Linked DNA regions of Oreochromis niloticus. The protein of the gene in region 1 interacts with the protein of each later gene in a pairwise test. Links are inferred from orthologs where the notes say so. Each region holds a gene or a part of one and is shown in the gene's direction. Other genes may lie near its edges. The genes, in order: klhl42 and si:dkeyp-72e1.9.

The links.
Region 2: the proteins of klhl42 (region 1) and si:dkeyp-72e1.9 interact in a two-hybrid assay, tested with the Homo sapiens proteins (2 studies listed by BioGRID and IntAct). The two-hybrid records come from large-scale screens. The link is inferred for Oreochromis niloticus from reciprocal best matches to the Homo sapiens genes KLHL42 and STXBP4.

Annotation. Positions count from the first base shown.
Region 1 is NC_031981.2:17,140,738-17,156,542, reverse strand, and holds klhl42 (kelch-like protein 42), read left to right. Parts: upstream 1-9,007; 5' UTR 9,008-9,429; coding exon 9,430-10,193; intron 10,194-10,266; coding exon 10,267-10,460; intron 10,461-12,851; coding exon 12,852-13,306; 3' UTR 13,307-13,675; downstream 13,676-15,805. Other genes in the region: UPF0577 protein KIAA1324-like, read right to left, coding at 589-736, 841-1,030, 1,099-1,219, 6,581-6,727. UniProt on the Homo sapiens protein: Substrate-specific adapter of a BCR (BTB-CUL3-RBX1) E3 ubiquitin-protein ligase complex required for mitotic progression and cytokinesis. The BCR(KLHL42) E3 ubiquitin ligase complex mediates the ubiquitination and subsequent degradation of KATNA1.
Region 2 is NC_031969.2:438,676-454,079, reverse strand, and holds the start of si:dkeyp-72e1.9 (syntaxin-binding protein 4), read left to right. Parts: upstream 1-9,044; 5' UTR 9,045-9,074; coding exon 9,075-9,175; intron 9,176-12,388; coding exon 12,389-12,462; intron 12,463-15,404. UniProt on the Homo sapiens protein: Plays a role in the translocation of transport vesicles from the cytoplasm to the plasma membrane. Inhibits the translocation of SLC2A4 from intracellular vesicles to the plasma membrane by STX4A binding and preventing the interaction between STX4A and VAMP2.

The DNA of each region.
Region 1 (15,805 bases):
TAGGCTTAAAAACAAGTCAAGCTCATACAAACTGAAAACTCAACTGCTAAGAAATACCTGCAGTATAACTGTTTCTCTGCGCAAATGTAAGCTCAGCCGCCTCCTGACTACCTTCATTATTCATTAACCAATATAAGAATAATTAAAAATGTCTTCTTTCATAGCAAGATTTTAAAGGTCTTGCATGTAAGTTTTTTAGTAGCATAAACAGAATGAATCATATTTATGTTTAAATTTATTTATTTCTACTTTGTGGAGTGTACTCTGTTATTGTGTAGTATTATTATAGTTTATTTTTTATTGGTGCTCTATTCATTTTGCTACTGTAATTATGAGAAATTCTCATCTTATCTCATATAAAAAATTAGTGATTTGGACCAAAATTTTTCACAAAACTCTCAAGGAAATAGTTTACGAGCAACACAAGTTACGAAAAACTTTAACCAAGCTGGGCGAGAAGCTGAGCACACTGCACACGGGTAGTCTTCTACAACCAATTTACAATCACTAATCATCTAAATTGTCAATAAATCAAATAAAACACGGCTACTCTTGGTTTTATTTACTATTTTAGTTACAGGTGCTTACATAGAACTCAAAGAAGATGTTGTTGTCGGGGTACTGGTAGGTGAAGGAGACAGAGCCCTGTTTTTCCAGATGTACGGCATAAACCAGGGACACCGTGCACTCGTCACGGTTGGACTCCAGATACACGCCCTGCGGCGTCCACGATGAGCTGCAACGAGAGCAAAACACAGCGGCAGCATACTCCATCTTGTTATATATTCAATAATACATGAATACCCATCTCCATGGTAATGGTAATGCTGTGTGCGCCACCTTTTACAGGCCTGAATGTCCTCTCCATTCGGCCCGGTGTCGAGGAAGCTGGCCAAGCTGGTGAAGCCCGCAGGGATGGCGTCCCATTGGTCAAAACGAAGGCCGCTGCCCAAAGAATAAGAACCGGCCGCACACGGCGTGCACTGCTGTGTGGACATCTCCAAAAACTTCCCAGCCGGGCATGAGAAGGCTGAGGGAACAGAGAGGTTGTGTTGGCATGTGCACACACACACACACACACACTGTGGTGGTACTCACAGCATTCAGTGCCTCTGGTTGGAGGAGGAAGATCTGAGCAGGAGCCTGGATGCACAGGGATGGCGACCCTCCATCGTGACCCTGTGCTGTCGCACTCTGTGTACTGGTAGTAGTAGTCTGACTGCATGGTGAACACACACACAAACACACACAGACACGCAGATAGAAAGATCAATAAGGTATCCATTCATGGTTCCTAGGAGATGAGGCTGTTTCACGTTGATGATTCCCTGACTCAAGGTTCATATTTGTGGGTTTGAGTGAAACAGCTGTATAGCTATTGTTAGATTTTCCTCAGAGGGAATCCCAACACTGCTGGTGATACTCTGAGTTTTCATCTAGCATCATCATCAGGTCGAGGTTGTTTGTACCCACCAAACCTCACGTTTTTCCTGGTGAGGCTGTGCCTTTCATCAGAGTCATCAAGAACTACACTGTAGACAACATTTTAAATACCACACGTGTGTGAGTAAAGAATGAAAGTCCTAATGGACGAAATAGTAAATCTGTGGATTGGTGGATAGGTTAAACTGGACCAAAAATGACTGGTGGTTTCAAATTTTTCCCCTTAGCACTGTTTGCCTAATGTTGCCTAATTTGCCGGTACAGGCTACACACACATACAGTACAACATAGCTTCCCCAATAAGAGCTGACCCTGTGTAGCCTGACAGTAACAACACTGCACTGCTGCTGATTCCACATTAAACAAAAGCTGGTCGTACAAAGGAGAGCATGGAGACTTTTACAGGGTAAAAAGATGGCTGACCTCGATGTCCACAGCAACCATCCGCCGGTCCTCTAATGGTCCATTAAGAGCGTGTTAGCGGGTCATCTTATCAAAGGACTGCTGGCTGTGACCTCATGCTCATTGAGGGAACTGAATGCTCATCCACAGGCACTCTTTTTTAGTGCCCTTAATTTTAAAGGGCACTAAAACAGAGCTTTTTCAGGGTTTTGGTACCTTGTTTAGATTTTTATTCTATTCTACACATTGTATTTGAATAACATCCTGTTTTTATGTTTGCTTTAATAATTTTTTTAAATATTTAAATCTTACAACGAGGCCCCAACAAGTAATAATGAAAAAATGTCTTACATACTATTTATAATGTATTTATTTATAACCTCCGGTTGTATAAGAGCATATGGGGAACCTGAATTGATCTGTAGCCCCAAATAAAAACCTTCCTGCTGACTTCTTTGTGTCAGTCACTAGTTTTTTCAAGCTGCGCTGAATAAAATATGAAGTTCATTTAATATATATAATGAGGCTTATCTTTGGCATGCTCATTTGTATCTTTTATACCACCTATTAGTATTTCACAGCAGCTACTTTGATATGAAATAGAAGGTAAACTCGGGTGTCACTAGTCACAGAAATTACACTTGATTAATGTAATTAGTAACACGTGTTTTCACCTGTTTTCCATTTTAGAAACCAGTCAAGTCCAGCCAGCTGTCCATGCATCAGCTGATATTGGACTTGTTGAGTGATGCTAGCTTATAGTTTTGAATTTCACACATTATGGTGACCAATCCACAAATGAATCAGTGTGAAAATAATTATTAGTGGCGGCAGCACAACAAAACCTAAAGAAAAGCATTTTTTGTACTTTTAAAGCAACTTCCTCTGAGTCCAAAGCCTCGCTCTGGCAGATCTCCATCTCCTCCCCCGATCCTGCTGTTCAACTGGACAAACAAATCAGCGGAGCGCCGACCGACATCCGAGCAGCAGCTAATTAAACTGAAACAATCGCAGCGATAAACCTGACAGAGTCAATCGGTGCCAGAGCGATGGCTTTCAGATGTCAGATGCGTGTGCGTGGTGCAGATAAGCCTGAGCTCTTTTAAATGACTAATCACCTCGCCGCAGCAACAAACATGGCCATTCATGCCGCACCCCCTCCGACAAACACGCCAGCAAACATTCAAACGGAGGCTTTGCCGTGCGAGCAGCAGCATCACCTGCGCTCAGATTCACCTTTCTGTGTTTCTGCACACAAAGAGGGCTAATGTGCTGACAGTGGGGGAAAGGTGACGCTGATAAAAAAGAAAAGGACACGGGCTAATGCCTTTCGCTGGTCTCCTGGGTGACTCACGCCGGTTGTCATAGAGACTGATGGAAGGAAGCGAGCAGGGACGGGATAAAATTCAGTGCCTCTTTACAGCAGAGGTTTGAGGATTTGATAGGACCCTAATCTCTCTAACAATGTATTCTTTTAAGTGCAGAAAAAAAACATCTGGAAACTTCTGAAGCTGTATTAAGGTCATCTTTAGAAAACAGCACACAGCTGTTATATCACTGCTAACTGTTTATGCTTTATCAGTCAGGTTTCCAACCGTTTTCATCTGACATACCCAGAAAGCCCATTCAGGTGATGTAAAGACCCCCCTTAGTAACACCACTTCTCATGCTTTATTTTGATGTACACCTACACTCAGTGTTTAAACCACCAGTAATTTTAATTTTTCCCTGCCTAACATGATGTTTAGTCACCATTTCAACAGTTTATCCCTTATTTCTGCTATTGTTAGCTAAAATAAGGAATCAACTTTTCAGTGCCCGCTTTTTTAAGGCCCCTCACTCCTAAAGTAAAATTCCCCATTCATTTTCTCCATGTTCAGAAAATCCTTATATAAAGAGTTTAAAGCCTTGAATCAAACCAGCCAGCCACAAGATGACCCATGATACTAAAAAAATTTGATTTGGACCAAAAGGATAAAGAAAAGATTTTAACAAGGGCAACGGTGCAATACTGGATACATGTAATTATGTTTATCAATAAAGGAACTACTAATCCCACAATGCACAGCAGGTCCCAGATTCCATAGTAAAAGACTTCCAGCCTTCTTGAATTTCTTCTTGAACGACATTCAAAGCTCTTCTTTGGATGTAGGCTTCCTTTAGATGACCCCACACTTATTCAGTAATGTTTATATCCGGGCTCTGGGGAGGCCAACCCATGACATTGTGCCTAGAATTTGTTGTCATGCCGAAAATGTAAGCCAATGTTGCCAATCAGATGATTTCCTGATGGTTTTGGATGGTGGATCAAAATATGTCATCGTTGACATTTTTTATACATTCAACTAAAGAAATCGGAACCAATATGTTTATATGACAGACTGTTGATAACAAAGTGCCTAAAGATGACATTTAAAGTTAGTTCTTTGTTGTCTGTTATGTATAGACACAACATTGCTTCACCCCTTGAGTTTGGTGCCTTTTGTGTACTTGAATGTTTCATAGGTCAGTGTTAACAGGTTCAACAAACAAAAAAAAGGTCAGGTACAAGGACTGGACTGAAAATGAGTGAGACTGAGAATGATCGAGACTTTGCTGATGTTTTCCGTCACGTATTCATTTTGTACCATTGTTCAGACATTTCACACCTCTTTAAATGCTGTATTTCCATGTTTTGTGTGACAGCTATCAAGCTGAATCTCATCTAATCTAATAATGATAACTGCTCCCAGTGGCTTAGCGGCTCCTTGATGCAGGGTGCGGTAGGTTTTATTGATTTTACAGACTGATGGCAGTGAACTGTAATTTAACAGAGGCTGGATCCTATTTTATTACCCAGAATTCAAACTCTGACGAGAAATGATGCTGAGTTTTTTAGTTATTGAGTTATATTAAGATGTGGAACATTTTTATTTACCATTTAGAGACATTTGCTTCTATTATTTTTGCCAAGAGTTAGATGAAAGGTTCACTAACCCTCTTGTATTGTGCATTTCAATAGGAAATGATAGTAAGTGGCCATTAAACTTAATTTGTGACCTCAAAAGTAATAGCACAGTTGAATTGTGCTTCAATTTACATGCACAGTGATCCGGTTAATGATCAGTAGTTGTTATTTCCTATTTTAATTGTACTTTTTTTAGCTTTCAGAACATTTATAGTTTATTTATATTGTCTGACATTATATGGAGTTGTGACTGCCACAGTGTTTGCAGTAACTGATAACTTAGTTAACTATCTAACAGGATAATGTTAGCTAGGATTGCATGCACTTTATTAACTTTTTTATTTTTGTTTTCTGTTTTAAATACTCAAGTGGTTCATAACTAGCAGCTTTTCTCTGGACCAGGTGAAGGCAGGACGTCATAAAATGCAGGAGTGTATTCACAGAGAAGGATATTAAATAAGTCACTTTGATTTAACAAACTAAATAAACTTGTTTTTGTTAACCCATATGAAATTTTTGTTGTCATATATATGTTATACAGAGTCTAATCTTCAGTGATAAGGATACATATTTATCCTGGTATGACATATTTTTAAGATATTTTGAATGCTAACATTTTGCTGTGGTCTGTTCCTGCTAAAAGAAAGTTCTTCCTCCCCTCTTTCACCATGTCCTTGCCCACAGGCTCATCATTCTCTCTTTAATATGGCAGGATACTTATCTCACAATATAAAGCACTTTTAGTGTTCGATCTGTTCAGTATTACTAAAAACTAGCAAATGAGTCCATAAATAATCGCTAAAAGTGTTTGCCGGATCACACATTTCTTCATAACCGGACTTCGATTTTCAACCACAGCTGTCGCCCCCTAGTGACCATAAGAATAAAGCTATTTTTTCATTTACAGAGTATCAGTCCTCGCATGAAAATCTCACCATCTAGAGCAGCGGTCCCCAACCCCCGGGCCTCGGACCGGTACCGGTCCGTGAGTCGTTTGGTACCGGGCCGCGAGAGTTGAGGCTCAGGTGTGAAACGTATGGTTTTCAGGGTTTTTATCGGTTTTCAACGTTATTTTGTTATCGTTTTTATCGTTAACTCGGTTTTCTTGGGTCTTTTCACGTGTGTTATGAATAAATCTTCTTTTTTTCGGTACCGGCACTAGTTTTATTTTGTTGTATTCATCCGCGACACCTCATTGCCGGTCCGTGAAAATATTGTCGGGCATAAACCGGTCCGTGGCGCAAAAAAGGTTGGGGACCGCTGATCTAGAGGGCAAAAAGGTTCTTTTTCTATTCCTTCAAGTCATCCTTACAGGCTTGAGAGAGCGAACCGTGCCAGCAGCCTTTCTCTGTCCTCCTCAGCGAGTAATCCCGGTCGGGCTGGCCGGCATGAGGCTGCTCAGAAGGGGATGAGAGAAGGATTCCAGCTGGGTGTTTATAGTCAACATGAACGGCATTTTAAGCCGATCAGCGACGTGAAGGACGAGGCGCGCATAGATCCAGACCCGAGCTGAGCCGAGCCAATGTAAAGCAGCAAAACGACTTGGAGCCCTTACATTGTTTTTATTTATTTTTGTTTTTTTAATCCTTCTTTTCTTTTCTTTATTTTATTTTATTTTATTTTATCTTAATCTATTCTGCACATTTACTCCTGCATGCATGGCCATTTTGACTTGTTGCCCTGATCATTTATTCTAGGATAAAGAAAAAGCAAAGCGGAGCGGGATCTGTGTTTTTAAAAAGCAGCAGATATTATAATTATAATAACGATGACAGCACAGGCGCTTACCTTATTACACGGCCGCAGGTCTCCGGCGCCTTTAACTGATGATGTATGAGCGGCGATGATGATGATGATGATGGTGGTGGTGGTGGTGGCGATGCTGAGTAAAAAGCTGCAGCGTGCGGACCGGGAGGCCCACGCTTGCTCCCTCATCCTCAGTCCGGGTCACAGAGCGCCGGGTGTCCGCTGCCTGGAGCCGCAAACACGAAGCGGGCCGCACGAGAAGAGTCCCTATCATTGATGCTCCCGCCTGCTTGTCTCACCTATTCTCCCCTCCTCCACCCACAACAGCGTCAACAGGCTGATAATAAAAATCGTTTCCGGTACAGGTTTTCAAATTAAAGCTGTCTTGTTACGTCCTATGAACCTCAATTTTTATCACAACACCTTTGTCCTGTGTTTATTCTCCAGGGTTTTACAATGTGTGGTTATTATTATTATTTTTAATTAAAAATCTATGCAGTGCACCGGTGTCCTTTTTCTCAGTAAAAACTGTGTAAGATCTTAAAATAAATGTCTCTGAATATTAGTTAGTGAAGAGAGTTAATCATTAATGTGAATAATGAGATCTGCATCTGATGGAAAAAAGTTTATAATTTAAAATACAATAAATGTAAAAATATTTTCTAAACATTTATTTAGTTTGTAATTTTCTCTCTGCAGCATTACAATAACTAGTTATACCTAAAAATAAAGCACCGTGTAACAAGGATTCAACATTTTTAAAACTGAACTGTCTGTATTTATGGGTCATTCTACATAAACTCCGAATTGGCGATGGTGAAATGTCCTAAAATTGATTTATTTTTCTAATGTTTACACATAGATCATGTTATAACATAACATGTTCACTTTAATATTCACAAAAAAGACAGATTAATGATTTTTAATCTCTTTTTGTACATCAACTTACAGACTGGATGGTGTTACCTCACTCCTTCTGCAATATAAAAGGCTTTTGATAAATATTATTTCCTCAGTCTCTTCAGCACATGTAGTCGGACTTGCATAAGAATACTCATAATGCAACAAATCAGGGGATTATGTTTTCTTATTTTCATTTGTTAAGTGTGATTGCACAGTGTTTGTTCATTTGTGAAGCCATTTATTTGCTATGCAACTGTTATAGTGAGTAGTGTCACAATCCTTTTGATGTTGACCCTTAAGTGTAACAGAAATCAATGGATCTTGTACAGTTTGGCAGAGTTCATTTGCTGTGACAATGGAAAAAAAATTCCCCAAACCCCAAAGCACAGTAACATCAGTGACACAATAAACCACCCAGGGATTGGGTGGAATTGATTTAGACACAGGATTAATAATACTAATAATATTACTACTACTACTACTACTACTAATAGTAATTATTATTATTTTAAAACTTCATGAAGAGCTTTCGATTAAGTTTTTTTTTCTGTTAATGGTTAACAGTGGTGTTAGTTAGTTGTAACAGGTCTGTTGTGATTCATAATCAAGGTGATACCAGTGACAACTTCTATTAATTTTTTTTTCTAAAATGGCAGCTACAGGGCATCAAACCACATGTTGTCAGTCTTGTTTTTCTCACAAAATTTCTTTCTTCTTTCTTTTTCAGTTCCCTAACAACTTCAACTAAAAGCTTCATATGAAATTATGCTATAAAAAAAAAGGTCTGAAAAATGAAAAGAGATACTGGACTCACTAGACCAATTTTTTTGCAGAGCTGCAGGAAACATGTTACAGGAAGTCATTAGATGTCGGCACCGCGGTGTTTTCCTTCAAAATAAAAGGCTTTTCTTAATCAGCAACGCCAGTGACACAACTCCAAGGTACCGTTACTTTGTTTATATACTTTATAATATTTATTTTACATTTTGTTTTGTTATGTTATGTTTGTCATATATGTATTATTGCAAGACACAGCATTGTTGTTTTTTTTTAGTGCTTCATGGACTCAAGGGTTAGTGTTAAATGACCTAATAAGTGGAAATCATTCTTCTGTAAATAGGTACAAGAACTGGACTGAAAATGATTAAAAAATCAGCCAATGTCCAAAGAAAAACTTAGATAAAAGATATTCAGAAATCCTGGAGAACTGTTGCTCAAGTCCACTTTAAAAATGACAAGAAAGTCTGGCTCCTTGGAACCAAAATATGAAGAAATTATGGTCAAGCTGAGGTGACCATAGCCAATAGCATCTCTTACAAAACCCCAAATTAAATTTTATTTAATTAAAAAAACCTAAATAAATATTAACGACTAACTAATCAAAATTAGCCAAAGTAAATAAAACAAGTAATTAGAAATAAATGAATAAACAATAACAACAATCAATAGCCTAATCAAAAAGTTGATCAAACATTCAACTTATCATTAATTTAAACCATGTTATGTAATTCTACTAATGACCTGCTGGGGGCAGTAAGGTGTCTTTGATACGCCTAATCTGCCGATAATTCCAATGGAAGAAGAAGACGCATATGATGTGGGGTGCAGAATCAAAACAGTTAAATTTGACAGCTCGACATTGTCCCTCACAAGGCTCGTAAAATGTTATGAAAACCTTCCTGGCAGGCTGAGAAACAAACCGCGATATTCAACCAACATTCTCAGAAAGTGGGGCCTAGTTGTGGAGGAATGCCATCGCGGGGAAAAGCTTCTTTTGGCCGGTTTATCCGGGAGCGGTAGCAGCGCCTCTGCAGCTAGCTGATTAGCTTCCCAGCTCCATGGCGATCTACGGGCTGAACATTACCATATATAGACCGGGCACGGAGCTCCCTGGCCGGTGAAATGTAAACGGCCACGGGCTCGGGAGACTGAGAAAGGGAAAGCAAAGACAAAACTCAGCCTGAGAGACCAAAACCACCATCTTCACCATGTCATCCGAGCAGATCATCGCCATCATCATGGATGACAAAACCTACGAAGTGAATAAAAAGAAGCTGATCGAGAAGAGTGACTACTTCCGAGCTCTGTACAGCTCGGGGATGAGGGAGTCCACGGAGGACTCGGTGCAGCTGCAGGGGCTCAGCGTCCTTGGATTGGAGCTGGTCCTGGAGTTCATCAACACCTCCAAAGTCCAGGTAGTCAACGAGACTCTGGAGGACCTGATCGAGACCGCCTCCTTCCTCCAGGTCACCTCCATCCTTAAGCTCCTCACTTCGGAGATCCGGCTGGAGAACTGCGTGGAGCTGTATAGCCTCTCCGAGGTGTATGGGACTCACGACCTGCGTACCGCCTGCCTCAAATACATGACCTGCTACTACCACCCCATGCTGAGGCGGCCTGAGTTCAGCAGCCTGGCCTCTGCTGTCAGGGACCAAGTCAAGGAGATGCGCATGAATGGCACTGCCACCCTGGTGGCCATCGGAGACTTCACCAGCCTGTCCCTGGATGTGCCGGATCAGGATGAGCCCTGGTCCATGCTGAGGTATGGAGAGGTGGATCAGCGCTGGAAGCCCCTCGCCAATAACCTCCCTCCAGATATGATCAACGTCAGGGGGTATGGGTCGGCCATCCTCGATAACTACTTGTTCATAGTCGGCGGGTACAGGATGACGAGTCAGGAGATCTCCGCTGTGCACTGCTACAACCCCTGCAGGAATGAGTGGAACCAGGTGGCGCCGCTCAACCAGAAGAGGTAACACAAGTCCCCTCTTGGTCCTTATTGGTTGTTTGCCATCGCGTTTCAATCACTGATTCTTCTCGTGCAGGTCCAACTTCAAGCTGCTGGCCGTACAGGGAAAGCTGTACGCTGTGGGAGGCCAGTGTCTGGGCACAGTGGAGTGTTACAGCCCTGAGCAGGACTGGTGGACCTGCGTCTCCTCGATGCCCGACCCGCTGGCTGAGTTCTCTGCCTGTGAGTGCCAGGGTATGATCTACGTCATGGGTGGATACACTGCGAGAGGTGTGTGTACAGGAGCTACAGTAACATATACACTAACACGCCAACACAGTCCGACAACAGTTTGGAGAGTAACTGTGAATTTTCATCTAGTGATTCTTTCTCCTTGACATGAACTTTGACCTGCACTGACTTGTGTCCATGCACACCAGATGAATAGTTTACTTTTTATTTTTTAAGGAGCAAAAAAGGCCCACATTTGGAGGTTAAAGGTGACATGAATCATTTCACAGCAGAAACCACAGTGTGAGTCCTACACAAGGATGATTTATACACTTCAACTGTGGTATTTAAAATACATAGATTTTTACATATCTGTCATGTTTTAGATCATCAAATAAGTTTTAATAGACATGATAGACAAAGATAACCTGAGTAAATACAAAATGCAGTCTTTAAAAGATAATTTCATTTATTAAGAGAAAAAAGTTATCCAAATCTACCTGCCCTGTGTGAAAAAGTAAATATGTTAACTATGTTATCTATGTTAAATCATAGATTAATTGTGATTAACCGCATTTTTTAGAAAACTGAGTTCAGTTTCACTTAGCCACACCCAGTCCTGACTACTACTTTTTCATGGCACTGTAGTTATAACTCCTCCAAAAAGCCTCTGAGAAATGAAGGGAAAAAACATAACTTAATTCCACAGAGTAAAAACTTCCCTGATGGCGGTATGGTATCTTTAGCCTGCGGTTAGTCTCAACAGATGGCTGCACCTCACAGTGATTCTGTTGGAGAAGACTTCCTGGTAAAGGGAGTTCTTCCTCCCTGCTGTCGCCATGTGCTGCTCATAAGGGATCATCTGTTTTTTACTTTTAGTGTCAGGTAACTGGAACGCTTATATCAAGGCAGGCACGTTTTACTGAAAACATCAAGATGTCTGTTTTGTTAAGTTTAATCGTCACAAGGGGAAAAAAGTAGGCTTAAAATAAGGGAAGCGAGAGAAGAGGAACAAACAGAACACAGATACCCAGGATAGTGTCTTTTCCTTATACTGTGAGGTGACTAAGTAAAAAGTGAGTTAAACCGAAAATGACTTTGTGTGAATTCAGATTTACTTTTGTTGTATTGTTGCACCTCCTCTCAGTTGGCTGTGGTGTTTGTCACGTTGTCCTTGTGTTGTTTTGTCGCTGTTGACAGTTTGAAGTAGATGTTTTACATACCGTTAATGCTTTATTGTAACACTGTCACAGTGCTGTACAAGACAACAGCACAAACAGAAGTGTATCCATCCCTTTCTTTGTTTTCCGTTCCTCACTATAAAAGATTTGGGATTATCCAAATCTGATCGCGTTTCCACACTGCAGCTTCTTATGGTGATTTGTTCATAACAAAGTCTGAAACATCCAGCTTCACCCTCCTTTTTGACTCTAATGGGACCACAGTTTACAAAACAAACATAATGTGCTTTGCAGCCATAAACTCATCAGCAAAGTGTTTACTGAGTTCATACTAAGAGGGAGCCGAGGACCTTTTCTCATGCACTTCTGTACAATTTAACAATCTGCCCCCTGCTGGCTGCTAGAGACGCAGGCTTTGCTGCACCCACCAGAAGTTTTTGGATCTTTCTTACCTACAGCTGTTTATATTCTCAGATTCAGTTCTTCTTGAGCTGCAGTTTACTTTTCTTAAACAAAATTAGATCACTTTTTGACCCTTTTTAAAAAAACTACTCTAAAGACATTCATTAGAATCATTATGTCCATGTCACATTTTAGTGCCCAACGTGAATTTTAAGTAAAGTAAAAAATAATAAATCCTATAAGCAAAAAGACAAAAATATAATTGAAATGAGAAATAACACAAAAAGTTATTAAACTTTTAAAGTTAAAGCATGGACTGCTCATGCACCGTAAGGTAGTGACTACACATCCAGACTGATCTCTGAATTACTCATTATTTCTATAATGAGTAATTTATTTATTTGGATCCTTCATATTTGGGTCTACTGAGCTGTTCCTGCTTCTTATAATCCTATAAACTCTTCATTTTAATGTGTATTTATCCCTTTACCAGTCAGCAACATATCGTTTATAATCAGGACACCTTGTCCCGGATTATCTCTTATATATCCTTAATTATAAGGGATTTAGCGCTGCTGGGTGAACAGGATATTAAAGCGGTTATTGCTTCCATATTTGGGTTTTTGTTTAAATAAGATGAGCAACTTGAATGCATCTCCCAGGTTGTAGGAGATTTTATAAAATTTAAAAACTATTCTTTATTTTATTATCGGTTTGTTTATGTTGGAGCACCTTCTTACGTTTCTCTTTGTTAATTATTCAGTCACTGCGTTTTGTATTTTGGGCTTTCTAATATTAAATATGTAACAATTACTCTTGTAAAGTTTTTTTTCTTCTTCTTCTTCTTCCCATTCATTACACTGGACAGAGAGGAACACAAACATCCTCCGATACTGCCCCATCTCTGACACCTGGACGACGTTCCGATCCTGCCCGGCTCACATCCGGAAGCAGCAGATGCTCTCCGTGGAGGACACCATCTACCTGGTGGGTGGCTACACCCACGAGCTGGACACGGGGCTGCGGCGGCGACGTCCCAGCCAAACAGAGGACGTGCTGACGGTGCAGTCGTACAACGTCACCACGGGGGAGTGGCTCCAGCTGAAGGAGAACACGTCCAAGTCGGGACTGAACCTGACGTGCACGCTGCACAACGACGGCATCTACATCATGAGCCGGGACGTCAGCCTGCCCACCAGCCTGGAGCACCGCGTTTTTCTCAAATACAACATTTTCTCCGATGCTTGGGAGGCCTTCAGGCGCTTCCCGGCTCTGGGACAGAACATGCTGCTCTGCTCACTTTACCTTCCTAACGTGCTGTGACCGGCAGAGCGGTGGGAAAGCTCGAACACCGTTAACAGACCGATTATTCTTGCACTCATTGGGGATCTGTGGCGTCAGGGTGTGGTTGGCAGTTTGAATGCCTCGTGACCGCCGTGCCTCGGATTAAAAAACTTGAAAAAACGTGCACTACGCTAAAGATACTGCTGTGGATGCAAATGGAAAAGCTATAATCACAAGTGTGGCCCAAAGCATCATCAGAGGTAGCACCAGTTTGTGCCTCTCATGTGTTAAAGTCAGCAGTCACCATCAAATAATCACCAGGTGAAGTTTAGAAAACACAGAACCAGCTGGTGCTGCCATTTGAAGGCATTTCCACAACCCTCAAAAAGTCTCTTCTGACCATCTGGATGAGCACATGTTGGTTGGATTGCAGATTTGAAAGGTGGAGGAACAGCATTCATATGGTTAAAATAGTCTTTTAGGGTCCTGGAAATAATGTTTGAGTGTTTCTCAAATATCATTTGAGAAACACTATCATTAAATATCATTGGAGAAACACTACAACTTCATCCCTTTTCCCAAGAGTAACTTTATTTTGAAGGGATGTCGAGTACCAGTGGTCAGACTGAGACTGCAAAGCAACAATCTCCAAAAAATCACAGGAAGTTCAGCCAAAGTCACAAACTTTATGATCACACCTAGTATTTCATTCTGATGGCGGTAGTTGGTTCGTCTTTGAGACATTTATGTCTTTAAAAAAAACAACAACAATCGGATGGTGACTGTAAACCCCAGAATACACCGGTCAGGCCCGCTGGAGCAATGCTTGCACTTCTACCACACATGTCAGGCTCTTCGTGTAAAATCACGCCAGTCTGTTGTATTGAGACCATCGAGAAACTGATCTATCATTAATAATATTAATATTATTATTATTAGTTTATTTCCAACATTTTATAAATATATTTCAGATGAGAAAAATTTTTCAATACAAACAGTGTAAATTATATCACGTACAGACCTTTAACAACATAACCTCTTTGTGTGACCCAGCATGTGAAAACCAAGCTGAAGTCCAACTTTCAAAACTTCTAGTTTAACATGCAAAATATTCGTTTTTGTTTATTTTCTATGAATTTCTAAAGACTGAAAAGTCTGCAGCATCACTGTGGGGATGAGTTTTCCCTCCCGTAGGCGAGAGGTTCGCTGGATGAGCATTTGGGACAAAATGGTGTGCTGTTTATTTGCAGTTAATGCATCAGAGACTGTTTGACAAGTGACAGTTTTCAGACACAGCTTTGAGAGATATATTTGCAGACCGTGAAGTTAAAATGAATTTTTTGAAAAACTGGAAATTAACACCGTTTTATTGTTCGTCTAGTTTTGCGCACAGCCTGGATCCTGTATATTTTTCACATGCTGTGTCACTCTAACCTTTACAGCGTGACATTTCTGTCCACACTTTTTCCATCAGTCGTTAAAATTATTTAACAAAAACACAAAAAATAAACTAAAAGAAAATATTAAATACAGCTGAATTAGAAATTAAAATAATAATAAACATTACTAATTAGTTTTAATTCTTTTCTTTAGTTCAAAGTTTTAGTTTCTTTTTTTAATATATTACTACATGGAGGATATTTAGCAGGTCCCAGGCTTAACAAAATTCAGAATAATCATTATAGTAAAAACATTTTTTTGCAACAAGATGACTTAGTAAGCACAGACCTCAAACACTAAAACTACTGACAGTTTCTTTATATTTTTATTTTCTTTTGGTTGATTTTGTAAATTCAAAAAAAGTTGTATTTATTTTCTTTCTGTCTAGTTTATTTAATTTAATTTAACTAAAATATTTCAGCACCCAGAGTTTTCAGACGATTTAAAAAAACGTCCGTGTTAGAAATGAGACATGACACTCCGAGTTAGGCTCTGTGCAGATCTCTTGCCTGCTGCCACTGTTTTGTCTTAAGCAGACTTAAAACGCTAAAATCACATGCACGTGTCCACTTTTACATCCACGACCATACAAAACATGAGAGGCACTGATGAGGGCTGCATAACAGCGTGCTTTCAAAACTAACGGCCACGTTATTCCTGATGTTTACACTCCATTGGCATCAAACTTTAACATAACACAGCACAACACACTACAAACCTTAAAAAAAAATCTCAGAAGCAACATGCATTAATGCTCTGCACATGGCAGGTAATCATAACGTGGCTTTGGTTTTACACTGCCAGTCGTAGGAGGATCAGAAGTTCTTTCAGAGGGAGCTTCATGTGTTGTATGAACACTTGCACAGTCTTACTCTTCAGAGAGACACTAAGAAAGGCTTAAAGCGCAATTCCATGAACTGAATGATGCACACGTGCCTTTTGCAACCTCAGTAAATAGGATAAAAAAGAAAAAAAGCACAAGATGCAGGACTCTGTTACATTTCCAGCAACCGACCAAAATTGCTGTGTTTACTTTCTGATTTTTGCTGAAGCAAGTTTTGTTTTCATTTCTGCGTTGAATGGAGGGACGGGTGCAGG
Region 2 (15,404 bases), on another chromosome or scaffold:
CACACATACACACATGCACATGCCATCATGATAACAAAAGATTTACAAATATGTGTGGAGGAGCACGGGTGCGTATGTCTCGCAGTGATTGGGTCCAGCCTGTTTGATTTCTCAGTGTGGATTGGATAATCTCCTAATCTGATAATGACCCACTGTGGGGATTTAGTGATTAAAGTTCCGAGGCAAATGGTCGTTGCCATGGCAAAAGAAGAAAATAAATCTCTGTGTGATGAAAATGTTTGAATTCTCAAAATGGATTCTCTTTTAATTCACTTTTCTATTGTCAGATGTTTTAGCTTCAGGGCTGAGGGCCAAACTTTTTGGAGGACAAAGTGTTGGATTTCTTTCTTTTTATAGAAGCTCATGTTTTCATTTTCAGTATGTTTGTGATGGTCTCTCTCTAGAGTTCCAGTTTTCTTTACTCAAACACTGTTTCACCTTTGTCTGTTTGCAGTCTGGCTCTTTTCCTTGTGAGTGTTCACAGTGTTTCTGTACAGCTGCATGACAGATGCTCTTCATAGCCTCTTGGTTAACTCCATTATTACAGGCAAATAAAGGCCTCTAAGGCCTCTCCCTGCTCACTTGCACCTCCTTGAAGGACTTCCTCATTAAGCATCCAGAATCAGTTTAACCCCCATGCTTAACAGAGGCTGAAAACTGCGTGCTGAATGCCAGGACCGATTTTCTTTCAGGCCTGGATAAAACTGCTGTGGTCAGGCTAATCTCAGGAGGACATGCACAATTATAACAGTTATCATCATCCTTGATTGCTGCACATAACAAGGGAGACACTTCCAGTTCTTGGAAAAGTTCCTCCAAGAACAACAGGCACTTTTGGACCTCTTGTTTACAGCCTGCAGGAATCTCTTTTAATACTTTAACTCACCAGCAGTTAACAGACAGACTCTTTAATGGAAGAGAAAAGAATGCTGGCATGTCAAAAATGCAAAAATTATGAATCAAAGGTATAAAAGTTTGCTTTAAATTTTTTTTTCAAATAATGTAATGAAAAAAAGCCCAGGATCTCAACATTAAACTCACCAAACAGACAAAAACCATTTGCAGCCTGCTGCTTTTAGTCCAGTGGCTCAAAGCACCCTGAAGTTCTTCAAAGCATCTTTGAAAGATGCTTTGAAGAACTGCTAAGCTGCTCTAGGTATTAGTTTAAAACATGCCGGATTTCATGTGTTATGCAATTCAGCTGCTGATGAAAGTGAACAAGTCACCCAAATTAAAGTCTCATTTAGGTGGATTACCCAAAACATTCCTTTGCCATTTGAGAAATATGCAAAGAAAAAAAAAACCCAAATCAATGAAACATGGATATGAGAGGAAAGGAGATACTGATGAATGTAAGACTTAAACTCCAGAGCAGGCAAGTCAAAGATGGGGACAAAAACCAACTGCATGTTTTTATAGACACAAGCTGCAGTTCCCCTTATCTTCCAAACTGGAGGCAGGGCTGGGGTGCTGTGCTGCACTCCATACGTTGGTGCGTGTTATCGATCAGCGTCAGGACAGCTCAAACTCACCATGGGGGCCATCTTCATGGATGCTTTTAGAAAGTTTACTGTGAAAACATCTGAGTGCTGGGCAGTGGGAGCTCCAGCTGTCCATAGTCTTCCCGCTGTGGGTTCCTAAACACTGGCCTTGTCTAGACACTGGCAGGATTTCTGTCTTGGAATTCTGTTCTGATTTCATGGGTAAGTAGCCATGGAGAGCTTTGATGCTTCTGTTGTTTTTGAGTTTGGGTTCCTATTTGGATTTTATTTTTGTACTATCACCTATCGTCGTTCCCTGTCTCGTATATGTGCTGTGTTTGCTTCTTCGGTGATCATTTCAGGTGTTACTTTCAAGGTTGACTTTTTGTTGTTTCTCATTATGCTTGAACTTTTTGTCATTTTCCTCCTTGATGATTGTTATGATTGTCTAATTACTACTTATGTGTATCTAATGTCTGTAGTTGGGTCCTTGGTCCTTGGTTCCTTGGTTCAGGTTTCCGTTGTTTGTGGTCCTCTCTCGTACTTTGTGTGTTAGTTGGAAGCTTCTCTGTTTCTTTTTGTTTCATTTTAGATTGTGCTTCTTCCAGGTTAAAGCTCTTTACTCATCATGGCCTCATGGCCTGGATTTGGTGCCGCCTCTCGTCTAACTACATGACAATGCAACTTCCTCCGTGTGCTGATGATTAGTCCCATGTAAGGGCTTGGCCATCCATGATTTTTTTCCTCTTCCTTTCAGCGGTACAATGAGCTACAGTAAGTTATCAGGGTTGAGCTGCTGTTGTCTTCCATCATTTATTCTGTCCTGGAGCTATTATTTCAACGACAAAACAACCGTTATTAAGGTGGAATTTAGATTCAAAGGCAACAAATAGAATCCAAAATGCCACGGCTTATGCAAAGCAGCCATGAGTCGGGATAATAGCCATGAACACAGACACTCTGAGCCTAAAGTGACTTTAAATACACAGGAGGTAAGAAGGGAAGTGGAGATACCTGGGGAACTACAGACAGCTAAAGTCAGTCAGCACGATGACAGACAGGAAATAAAACACCAGACAAAGTAAGACAGGAAGCTGAACTGCACACAGGTGAACAGGCTATGTGATATCTTATCTCACTTTAAACAGATATGATGATAAATAGAATTCAAATAACTACTTCTGTCAAGCTTAAAGGTTCCTTGTTACTTCTAGGAGAGATGTGGGGATGTGGGCTTTACATATTTATTCGTGTGCTGCAGCATTACACAACATGATATAGAGACATACATAATAAACTAAAATCTTAATTCTGACCAGTCAAAATCTTCAAGTGTTACAGAAGAACACAAACACAATGGAACCAAAGACATTAGATAATTAATACAAAATAAAATCTCAAAAAACACTCTATCATTTCTTTTCTGTAGACTCACACTGTGTTCATTTGTTGGGAAACGACCGCACAAAGAGACAGAACAGTGTGTGCGTATGTCCTCAGTACTGTCAAATGTAAACAAAGGAGAGCACACATCGCTCACATACTCACTCAGCTGCTCATGCTCCCAGGCAAAAAAGAAATAAAACAAATAATGTGAAAAGCAACAAGAAGTGCAGTGATGTCTCAGCTCATTTATGGCTCAGATGTGCAACTTTACAACTAATGGGATGTTTTAGTGAAGTATGCAGTGTGTTTACACCAGTGTTTCCCAGCCGTTTGGAGCCACGGTCCATATTTCACTTTAGAAAAATCCCACGGCACACCACCAAACAGAAATGTCACCAAAAGCATACTGATAAGTCTTCCACCAGATATAGCAGAACTGGCTCAGTTTGTCCCCAGTTTACCTTTGTTGCTTCCTTCTAACCACTACTCATGCTCGGGCCTTCACCTGGGTCAGAGTTTTCTCCAGGACCAGGTCAGACTGAACACTTTTTCTTTTCAAATATTTATCTGTTGCTATTACACACTGCATCGTCTCACTCACAGCATGACTATTATGTTATTTCTTCCTCGTCTTCTTCTGTTTTACTGCCAGTCAGCAACCCATTTTATTAGAGCAGGTAGTTGTACTGCCCTCTAGTGGTAGAGAATGTCATTGTTCTGCCCGTTACTCACGCCGCTCGCTTAGAGTACCAATCAGGTGGAACCAGATAATGTTCCACAGCACACCTGATCATTTCTCACAGTCAGGGGCAGATCTAGAGAAATTTTCTTAGGGTGGCAAAGAAATCAAATGGGGTGGCAAAATCAAGGCCTTTTTTTTTCAAACACATACGCAGGTGGTTACATATGGTTAAAATAATTCAAATGCAGTAAATATACATGTTTTTCATATAAATATAGTCTATAACTTAATTATTGTCTGTAGCCCACATAATTAAACACTTTAGTTGCATAAAACATGTGAGTTTTGATTTTATCTACAGTACAGCCTATATAATAAATAAATATGTAGCCCAATGAGTATGTAGAAAGCTACACAACATGGGGCGGTTCATTTACAAACACAGGACTAACTTAAGTTTCACACTGTTTTTTTTCACAAAATGTCAGAAATCTGCACTGTCATGAACAAAAATTTAAACCTAATTTTTCATGATTTGTTGGATGAACCCACTGAGGTCTGAAATACAACCGGACATTTTGACTCCTTTTGAGTTTACGTTTGTATTTCACCCTCAAATTGTTTCAATGTATTTTTTCCCCTTGCCTTGTTTGGTATCATTCTTTTCAGCTCAACCTCATGTGTCTGAATTTAGTTGTTTTTTCACTGACATACTGCATTAATATTACTGATCTGAAATCACACAACGTACTTAAATTCCTAGTAGTATTTTTTTTACCGTAACCCCCCCCCCCCCCCCCCCCCCCACACACACATGTTGAGTAAATTATTTTTATAACATGAAATGCAAATATAAATTGTACATTTTCAAAAGTGAAGCACACATTTTGTAAACATATACAACTATTTATCTATAAATGCAGCCAATACACCTGGCAGGGTTTCTTTTGTACAACCATTTAAAAATATTACTAAAACTAAAATGAGAGAACAATCAGGTTTCGCAATAAGATGCCCCACAAATGATGTGTGCCAGTAACAAAAGACAGAGGAGAGCAGCACAGGGAGAAACCTGCAGGCCTGACAGCAGCAGGTGTATCACTCCGCTGGTTTTCTACTTAGTGACAGTGTTTACATTACAAATGTGCTTTTGTGACATTCATTAGTGCCCTCACTGACACACAAAACAAAACAACGACTACACAACACAACACACTAATGATACACTCCACGCTGAACATCACAAATCTCCCACATCTAAAAACTCTCTCTCTCACTCGCTCGCTCTCTCACTCGCTGCCGTTACCCTCACTCCCAAAACTTTCCCCTCTTCCTAAACAACCAAATCCCACGTGACTTTTTTTTTAAAAAATGGTACAATTTCCCATCGATAGGAAAGAGGTGGCTTTTTTCTTTCTTTACTGTTTTCTTGCTGTCCTTAGAAAACGCTTAAAAAAATTAAAAAACACACAAAAAAACCATGACGACAGTATTTAAAGAAAAGCAAGGCTTATGTATATTTTTTATCATAACTCTGGATTTATTGGCCCGCATTTACAGTTTAAAAGCCAATGTATTCCCAGTGCTTGGGAACTGTATGCAGCGTGGACAGCCGAGTTAGTGATGAGGGTCTGTTTGTGTTTTGTGGAAAGTGTCTGGGACTGTGAAGCCTTGCCTGGTGCAGGCTCTAAAGGATGAGATGCTTCACATTTGGAGACAAATCTCAGGTTGGCTACCACTGCAGTCAAGTATTAGCCAAGCTTACATCTGTGCTCCCAAATCCTGTCTCTGGAGTCAGTACAAGACCTCAGGGTTTGGTAAGGGCCTGGAAAGACTCCAGTTTCTTTAATCCCAACAGCTGAAAAACATCACAAACCTTGTCCTGGCTTTAGACAACTCACTGGTTTAATGGTTTTGAACTGTTTTTACTATATCTCTGCTGTCACTGTAATAATGGTATATTTTATTGAACTGAAAAACTGAAAGATTGAACAGTAAGGTTCTTTTTTGTTTTAATAACAATATCTTTAACTAGGTCTTGTAAACCTGAGTGTGTAATCACACGTGAGTCCACGTGATAGTCAGACTGGGCTAGGATCAGTTTTTGAAAAGCTTAAAAGATGAATTTACCAGCACGGACTGAATTCATGAATCCAGCGTGTAGTCGGAACAGAATTCAGAGAGCGTCAGGGTCTATCAGCATCAATAACCACACTGCTGTCCTTTTAAAGAATATGATGTGGATCCACACCAGATTAATCTGCTCGTCAACTGGTTTCATTAAATTTAGCTTGTTTATGTCATTTTGTTCATGGACAGATAGAATCTTTTATTAGTGCATGAGTATCGTTCAATATAACAGCCTAATATAAGCTGACTGGTTTAAATCTTAGTCACCTGAACTGAAATGCACTGAGTATACACTTCTGCATTTTCATTCATTTTGAGTAGTCTCTGAAACTGATCTCTGAGGAAGCCTGGCTAGTCCCCATACTGCAGCAGTAATAAGGATAACTGTGTCTAAGTTACAGACCCGAGTTCATTTTTCAGACTTGCCAGGCTGGCTCTCTCTGGGCTCCTGTTTGCCCCACTGAGCACAGCTATTTACTGTGTCTAAATGAACCCATGCAGGCGATATCTCCGCACAGCCAAGCCTCAAACATGGATGTGAAACTCCAATTCATATCTTGGCTCTTTATCCCATCAGTGACATCCGATTCACAAAAAACAAAAACAGATTTAAAACCTAAAAATCAGAGTGTTAAATAAGACTACAGAGGTCAGTGGGGACATTCAACTAACATAGCAGTTTAGTGCTGGTAATGGTAACATCAGTGATAGGATTTATGCTTCAAACATCATTAATGTGTTATTTATGCTGAACACGCCTGGGTGTCTTTTGTTTATCTGTTGGTATTTTTATCAATTTGTGTTTAGCCTAACATGGCAAAAACGTCTCCCAAAACAATCTATGTTGCACAGACTAAAAGTTTAAATGTACTTTCCAGGAAACATGCAGGTTGTATATCAAAAATACTGAGGAACCAACTGCAGACATGACGGCAGGCTCCAAGAACACAAGAACAAGCTTTTGTTAGAAAGTTAAAGTCCAAAAACACACAGACCGTAGAATAGAAACTGTTCAACAGAGGCAAACAGGACTATACACACAGAGTAAATGCTAATGGTAATTAGATACAGGTGTACACAATCAACACAACCACAGGCAGGAAGTAAAGCTAAATGCAAGAAACAGAAAAAGGAAGTAATGTTAACTAAAGGAAGAAGCTCAGAGACTGATGTAAAGTTAGGAACTAATAAACGTTAGTATGCACAGTAACTAGAACTCAGTGAGTTAAGAAGAAAATGTAAAGAAGCAGGAATGAAAGAGAAAACACGTAAAGATAATTAGGGCAGCTTTAGTGTGAAGTAATAGCAATACACATTTAAAAAGTTTTAACAGATTGAAGCAAAGCAGACTGCAGTCTGTTTCACACACAAAGCAAGAAATAAACCCACTGAGATGTAACAACTCTGTGTGTGTCATACAGTCTGATCTGTGCTTGGAGTATTTGAACAGCCTTCTTGCAGAGGCCTATATTTAGCACGTGCTTGTGCCATATGGATTTGTGTGCATAAGCTTATCATGTCTTCATCAATATCATCTCTCCATATCTGCTTGGCAGCTGCGGTGCATCATGATTGGAAATATGCAGAGTATATGTTAACAACCACAAGCTAACATCCAGGCTTTTGCACCACAGCACAGACATGCTTCAAAGGCTCAAAGTGCCTCTAGGATTTGCCAGGTAGGTTTTCAGCTGTTTTCGTGGCTCAGGCTGAAGCTGCTCACAAATATCTCAGCACCCGGTGCTCCAGGAAACGTTCCTACGAATTTTTCTGTTATTTATCGTTTGTGTCAAAGATTTCTTCTGCTTGGACCTCCTGCAGCCTCAGGCCCGTGTCACTCAGCAACTTTATTTGGGGGCAGCACTTCATAATACAGCTCACAGATAATGGTGTAATTACTGACCAGTCACCATGATTTCTTTATTCGTTTAGGGGGGTAACTTTCAGCAACTAAAATTACCATATGAGAAAGAATGTTTATGTATTTTTGAATTATTAAGTGGCTTTGGACATTGGTAAATGACACTGTAAGGATCTACATGTAATGATAATTTCAGGGAATTTTAGAGGCAAGAACCTTAAAAAATATACTTAGTGTGTTTTTTCTATTCAAACCTCCACTTGTACTGTACCTACCAGTAAGGATATTTTACTGATAGAAAATTACACCTCAAATCTAGAACAGTTACACACCAAATTCAATCAAAAAGAAACCACAGAGTGTATACTGGAACGCTCCCCCATTTATGAATGTAGTGTAATGTAACAGTGAATCCAAACACAGGCAGGTTCAGCAGGTTTCACCTGTGTCATGTTGCTGGGTGGAATCAGTGTGGGATTGCTCGGCTGTATGCACATTTCTTTTGCTTTGATCACTTTGAACAAACAGCTCAGTTACAGTGATCAGTGTTGTATCTTTAAGCGTTGTCGCCTCCATTTGATTGATTGATTTTGTCTTTGCATTAAATTCATTTTAGGGATCACGGATGAGGCTGTCTCTAACCAAAAACCCTTCCTAGCAGCACTGAGCTGAGACAGCACTGTGGTAACTTTTCTTTTTCTTTCTCGCATTTTTGTAACATCAGCTGATCAAAATACAGCCAAAATGAAGAATCGTTGTTTGAGTAGTGAAGATGACAGCACGGAAGGTCTGAATGACAAAAGATGAAGGCAGAGTAATGGATGTCATCTGGGGATTAAATTGCAGTTTCTAAATGGAGAGTAGGGCACTTGTGCATTAATGTGTTTAAAGGCTCGTAAGCCCCTCCCTCTCTTTGGCTCAACAACTTGTTAGCGCAATGGCCAATATCGTCTTAAAAGAAGCTGTGGTTGATACAAATGGAAGTGTGGGTAGAATCTATGGAAAGACTAATGTTCAAGCGTAACGTGGCCAAACACAATTAAACACGTTACCATAAAAGTAGCACAAACATCCACAGAGAGGGGAAAAGCCAGATTCCGTTGAATGGAGCTGTTCCCCGCAACAAAAATAAAGCCGCTGCACGGCCACAGCAAGAGAAAATGACAAGTGGGGAGAGAAATGTGTGAGAAACAAACCACCGAATCATTTCCAGCCTCAGAGGGGGTTTTTTTTTTTCATTTTCCACCGACTTTAGTTATGTAAGAGATTAACCGTGTGGCTGAAGGTGGAGATGTTTGGAGCGCACAGGCTGCTTCGCTGGAATTAGTGCCTGTGCACCGTCATGTGGCTGCTGGCTGAAGGCTGAACGCTGCGACCGAGCCTCCGCCTGTCTCACCGGAGAACCGGGCTCCATGTCAACATGCCAACGTTTTCAGTCATGTACAAAGGAGCTGTGATCATCAGCAGGTAAAAGCGAGCGGTTGTGTGTGCAGGTGGAGGTTAGTCTGTGTGACAGCAGCGGTGGAGTGACACGATGCTGACAGCTGAACTCTGTAAACACGGAGACGCGTTTACTAACCATAGCCCTGTCCCGTGGAAACCAAACACACCGCGTGTCTTCTCGGGCTTTATCTGGTAACCGTGACGCTGACTGTCCGTCTGTAACACAGGCGCATGTTTCTGCTTCGTGTCTCAGGCAGAGCCGTGCTTCATGCTCTTCTCTCAGGCTTATCGATATGTTCTAGTTTTCCGGGTGAGATGATGCAGTGATCTTTCTTGCATGTGCTACAAACGGATGAGCTCCACACCGGAGACCAGGTGCTGTCCCAAGTTTACTGTGAAAAGACTCTATGAGGCACTTTGTCAGCTCTCATGAACATGTTGGGAGCATTAGCGGGTTCCATTGTGGACATTTAATATTGAATCTGTGCTTTTATTGTGTGTGGCTCTTTGATTTTGTCCTTAAATGTTGCTGATTTGTTGATATGTTTTACCAAAGTTGGAACATTTACTGACAGACTTTTGGAAGCTTGTCTCATCGACTTTTTATCCGTTAGGGTGAATGATGCAGTCGGCAGTGTGGAGCTGCTTCAGGGAATTGTGCAGTTATGTTTACAGTATGTTTCTCATGCCACAAGTTATACTTCATCGATGTGTGTCTAACAACACAACCACTGAGGTTTTTGAATGGCACCAAGCTTCAGCGAGTGTATTCGTGACTCCTGTCATGCCCATAGACTGTATGAACCTGGATTCAGGGGTTAGTAGCTGTAGTTGCAAAAAGACTGTAAGTCCTGTAGTGTTACATGGGTAAACGGGCATCTGCTGTCACCTCTGGAAACACACAAGGCATTAACCAATGAGCAGGTGGTTTCATAGCTGGATCCACCCCTCACTGCCATATCCAGGTTGGAAACAAAGCGGTCGGTGATTCACATTGGCCTCATCCATCCGTTATGTTGTCTGTGGTCATGCCCATCAGGTTAACTTTTGCCACTGTATTGGTCTGAATGTGATATAACTCAGTGCACTCAATTTTTTTTTTTTTATGACAATTACTCAGCAAACGGTACCTGTAGACCTGAGGGTTAAACTGGGACTGGGGAAAGGGGGGAACCTTTGTAGCTCTTCAGTGGCAGGAAATGACTGATCAGCTGACCTGTGCTGGTTTTGAGGTTTAATGCTTTTTGTGGATTTTACCAGCTGGATTCTAAAATATATATGGAGATGTTACGTGAACCATCGTGGCTGCTTTCCAACTCCTGGCCAATGTGACCTTTGTACAACCACAATTCCAAAAAAGTTGGGATGTGGTGTAAAAACACATTTTATTCACAATAGAACATAGAGAAAGCATCAAATGTTTAAACTGAAACATTTTACTACAGTCCCGATCAAAAGTTTAAGACCACTTGAAAGTGTTGTTTTCAATAAACTGCATGATCAAAAAATATTTTGCCTCACTCCCATTTCTTCTTGTTGCATGTTGAAGCTCTACTTGGAACCTTGTTAAGATCCAACCATGCAAAATAGGATTTTTTGCCATTTTTCAAGTGGTCTTAAACTTTTGATCAGGACTGTATTTCATGAAAATGGCATCAACATCTTTCAAAAAAATTGGGTCAGGGCAACAAAAACTAAGTAAGTGGTACTGAAAAGAAACAGCTGGAGTAACATTTAGCAGCTAATTAGGTTAACTAGTAAGTAACACAGCTGGGTATGAAAAGAGTGTCGTGGAGAGGCAGAGGCTGATGAAAAAACTGCCAACAAACTGTGGTGCAGTTTCACAATTTTCTTTCGTTTTCTTTTTTTTTGTTTGCGATCTTTGGTCCTTCAAGCAGCATTGCATTAAAAACAGGCACAATTGTGTGGTGGAAATCGATGCATGGGCTCAGAAACACTTCCTGTGTGGGACCACAACTCGCCGTACTGTCCACACATGCAGGTTAAAGTTCCACCCTGCAAAGAAGAAGCCATATGTGAATATGATCAATGATTCTCTGGACCGAAGCTCATTTAAAATGGTCTGTAGCAAAGAGGAAAACCGATCTCTGGTCCGAGGAATACAAATCCAAAATTCTTTTTGGAAAATGTGGATGTAGCATTTTCAGTAGGATAAACGTTTCGTCACTCATTCAAGTGCAGGTTTCCCCAACCTTATAAACAGTATATTTGCATAAAAACTGAAACTAGCACCACTGAACAACGGGCTGTGAGGTCAGTTTCTTGATCATTAATATGCAAATTGTCATGACCATTGATCGAAAACAACCCAATGCAGTAAAATGAATCCAAACCACAAAAATACAAAGAACAACAGTGAATTCAGGTGTTCTAGTGTGAGACTTTCTATATCCATCCTTAACAGATGATGTTAAAATGTCCAGCTCCATGCTGAATGTTGCGTCTTTGTGTTATCAGCCAATGAGCTGGGCTATCAGAATATCATCTAAAGAATTTGAAGCTTGAAGACTGTTATTCTGTACACAGAGCTGCATTCTGCTGCGACATTCATAAAGCCCGGAGTTCAGAGTTTCCTCAGCCTCATTGTTTTTACTGGCAGCAGTGGTGAACCCTCTGCAGCTAAAATGTTGATAGTCCTTTTTTTTTCATTTGGGTGTAGACAGGAAGGGAACTGCAAACTAAAATAAAGTGCTAAAAAGACATCGTTCCAGATACCAAAAATGGTTTGTTCATTTGCAGTATTCTGCATTGTCTTTTGTAGTGTCTAATGAGGGAAGCAAAGGGATGCTTTGCAAGTGTTAGATGAGGATTAGTAATGAAGAAAAAAGGGGAAAGCTGCAGTGTGCAGTCCTCTTGTGCGGCATTATTGCATAAGATGAACAACATGTGTGCCAGCTCTATCTCTCAGAGATTATTGCTCACTGTGTGAGATCTTACCAAGATGCTTTTGAGTTACCCAATGCTGCCGTCTCATTTCTGCTTCCTCTGCTACTGTCACAGCTGTATTTGGTCTTGTCTTCAAACAGCAGTGTGAGGAAAAATACACCTTTGTGTTCATATTTTGAGAAAGATTTTTGACAGTAATGTATATACATAATGTATAGAAGACTCTCATTTGCACAACCAAGTATCTGCAGCACACACTCAAGACACACTCCTTGACTTGTGTGGTGACAAAGTCTCAGGCCTAGTCAGGATAAGCTATCTGAGGTTAAGTTCCCAACACTATAGTGCTCCTATGGATTCTGACTGTGTAGCTGTGCAGCCTGTGAAAGAAAATAGTTGGATTTTGGGTTTTTTTTCCCTATTTCGTCATCTTTTTCTTCCTCACTCTCCTTCCCTTCCCTGCTTCCCGCTTCCTTTTTATCCATTCACCTCTAACAGGACACTAATGGGTCCATACGGAGTCGACCGAGCTGTTCATTCCATGGAGTTTACAGACTGTGAGAATGGCCTAGGTAAGTCTTTTCTTACTTCTGTCCCCACAAGTAACACACCTCAACACTCGACTATTCTCCTTTGTGCTTGCAGAGGTCATATGTGTTGCTGCTTGTAGTTATTGCTCTGGCTCTTTAACTTCAATAAGATGCTCAACTTAAGCTCCTGCAAACCAAAGTTCTTTCATTTTTTCACTTGCACTTGTCTGACTGCTTACACAGCTCAAGTTTATTCAGTGAGGGAGACATTCAAATAGTGATTACTCAAAAAGTAGCTAGTACTCTGTAATGTAACGTAGTTAATAAAAAATGTCCATGAAATGACATTGACTTTAGTGATCCATTAGTTTGTGTACAATGCAAACTTTCCACAAGACATTAAAGGAAAAGAACGATTTTGGAAGTTCCATACATTGCAAACAAAAACTTACCAACACCTAGACCATTTGGACAAGAACAGGAAGACAACCAAACCAAAGACAGGATAAGTGGGTGGAAAGGAACCTCAGTGAACCTGAAAGAATGTGCTAGCCAAAGCCAATTTGGCATTTCTCCACAACAGCTGCAAATAGTGGATCTTTTCACAGTCTTGGAAACAGTGAGGATTAACAAATTAACACAACCTGAATTCCTCCGTCTAACCTCACAGTACAATAAGAGAAGGCCAACACATCCCTGAGTGAAGACCAAAACATCACCATATTACCAACTGACAAGGGGACATGCACTGTTGTTCTAAACTCAACTGATTATTACACCAAGATTCATACACTCCTCAGTGACAACAACCTATGTAGCCTTAACGTGAGACCCCACAAACAACTACAAAAAGAAAGTCACCAACTGTCTACAACAACTCCAAAGGAAAAGACAAGGATTGGCCTCCATACCACCGTTTGTACCCAGGGCATGCTATGGCCTGTACATATGGACTTCCAAAGATCCACAAAGAAGTTGGATCCAGATGAAACCATCGTGTCCTCTAATGTGGTCTCCCTTTTCACTTGTACAACCGAGGCAGTGGAAACTGTCAGTAAACAGCTACAGCAAGACCGCGCCATAGAAAACAGAATCAGCTTCACCCTGCCTTACCACCACATACAACCAGGGTTTCTACATCAAAATATGGATGTGCCATGGGCTCCCCAGTGTCACCCATTGTAGCCAACCTTTATAAGGAGGAAGTGGAAAGTAAAGTTTTTGGTTCTTTCAGAGGAACAGCACCTAAAGACCGGCACAGATGTGGATGACACCTGGGTCAAAATCAAAACCCAAGAAGTAGAAGAATAATAGTTTGCCATTTCTGGACTGTGCTGTGTTGAGGAGAATGGAAACCTCAACACTGAAGTTTAGCAGAAGCCCACACAGACAGGCTAGTACCTACTCTTTGACTCCAAACATCTCGTGGAACACAAACTTGGAGTAATCAGGACCCTGCAACACTGGGCAGAAGAGAAAGGAAAGGAACACACATGTATAGAAAGTTCTTAAAACATGTGGTTATCCCAACAGAACTGTCATCAAATCAGCAAAGATGCACAGGAAAGAAGGTCAGACACTAGCTAGGGAGAAACTGAATGACAAGCAGAACAACATTGTCATCCCTTGTGTAGCAGGTTTATCAGAGGAGAAGCTTCTCCAAGCTTGACATCCACTTCAGACTCGGCCTCGTGAGTAAAGCTTGTGATCTAGAGCTTTCTGCAAGTGTGTCAACATAACCTGAGTTCTGAGAGAAACTGTTCACCTCACAGGACGTAGTGGTCTGACACTTTATACCCAATAGTTGAACAAATACATACAAGCTGAGATGAAGCCATGAATTTACAGAATACAGTTCTTTACACCAAGTCTAAATCATCTACATAGCCTTATTCAATCATCCTCCACTAACCACTGGCGATGGAGCATGATAATGAGTAAATAAAATAATATTACTCTGCGTTTTAAAGGGATTTGCAGAGTAGGTACATATCACTGTGTTTGCCAACCAGGGGAAGTAGGTCAAAGCCATAACCTACTTAACTGAGTGGGGTTAAGAATACAGGAGCTGCTGTTGTTTTTATCCTCCACTTCCACTATCTACTATCCACTATCACTGTGCTGCTGCAACTTGTGCCTAAGCAAGAAAAACAGCTCGTGTCCACGAATGCAACTACTGTCAAGCTGCCAAACATCACAGTGAAGCAAAACTGCTTTATATAGATATATTTATGTCCATATTTATATGTCCACACATATATATTTATGTGGTTGTATAAATCTCCTCAGAACAGAACTGTATTACTCTATTATTGCTGACATGTCCAAGATGATGCCTTACATGATTTGGTGTTTAGTAACTTTTGCAGAAGCTGATGGCATAAAGAACTTGTGCACTGTCAAGGCAACTTGTGATTTGGCAGTATATAAATAAAACTGCATATGTTTAAGTTCTGAACATAAAGTTTACAATTATTCTTGAAATGTTACATTTAAAGAAGTAATAAATATTAAATAACAGAATTCAGAGAGTCAGAGTACATAGGGCAGCTCTGTTTTCTCATTTGACGAATAAAAAAAAAAAAATGCACACAATTTGTGTGCATTTTTTATGCATTTGTAAAATGCATATATGTATGCTATACAATATATATTTGGCTAGGAAAATGAGAAATGGGTCCAGTGATTTACTGAAACCTGCAAAGAGACATGCATCCAGAGAATCTGAAAGTGAATATTTGGTGTGAACACCTTTATTCTTCTTCACAGCCTGAACCGTCAGAGGCAGCTGACTGACTGAGCATGCTGACTCTGTCATTTCTTTAAGTATCCTTCAGGAAAAGTTCTCCAGGCTTCTTGATGGATAATCAAAGCTCTTCTTTGGATGTTCTCTTAAGATAACCCTTAACCCTAAGATAACCCTAAGATAACCCTTCAATAATGTTGAGGTCTGGTCCATAACCATCAGTCATGGACTGGCCACT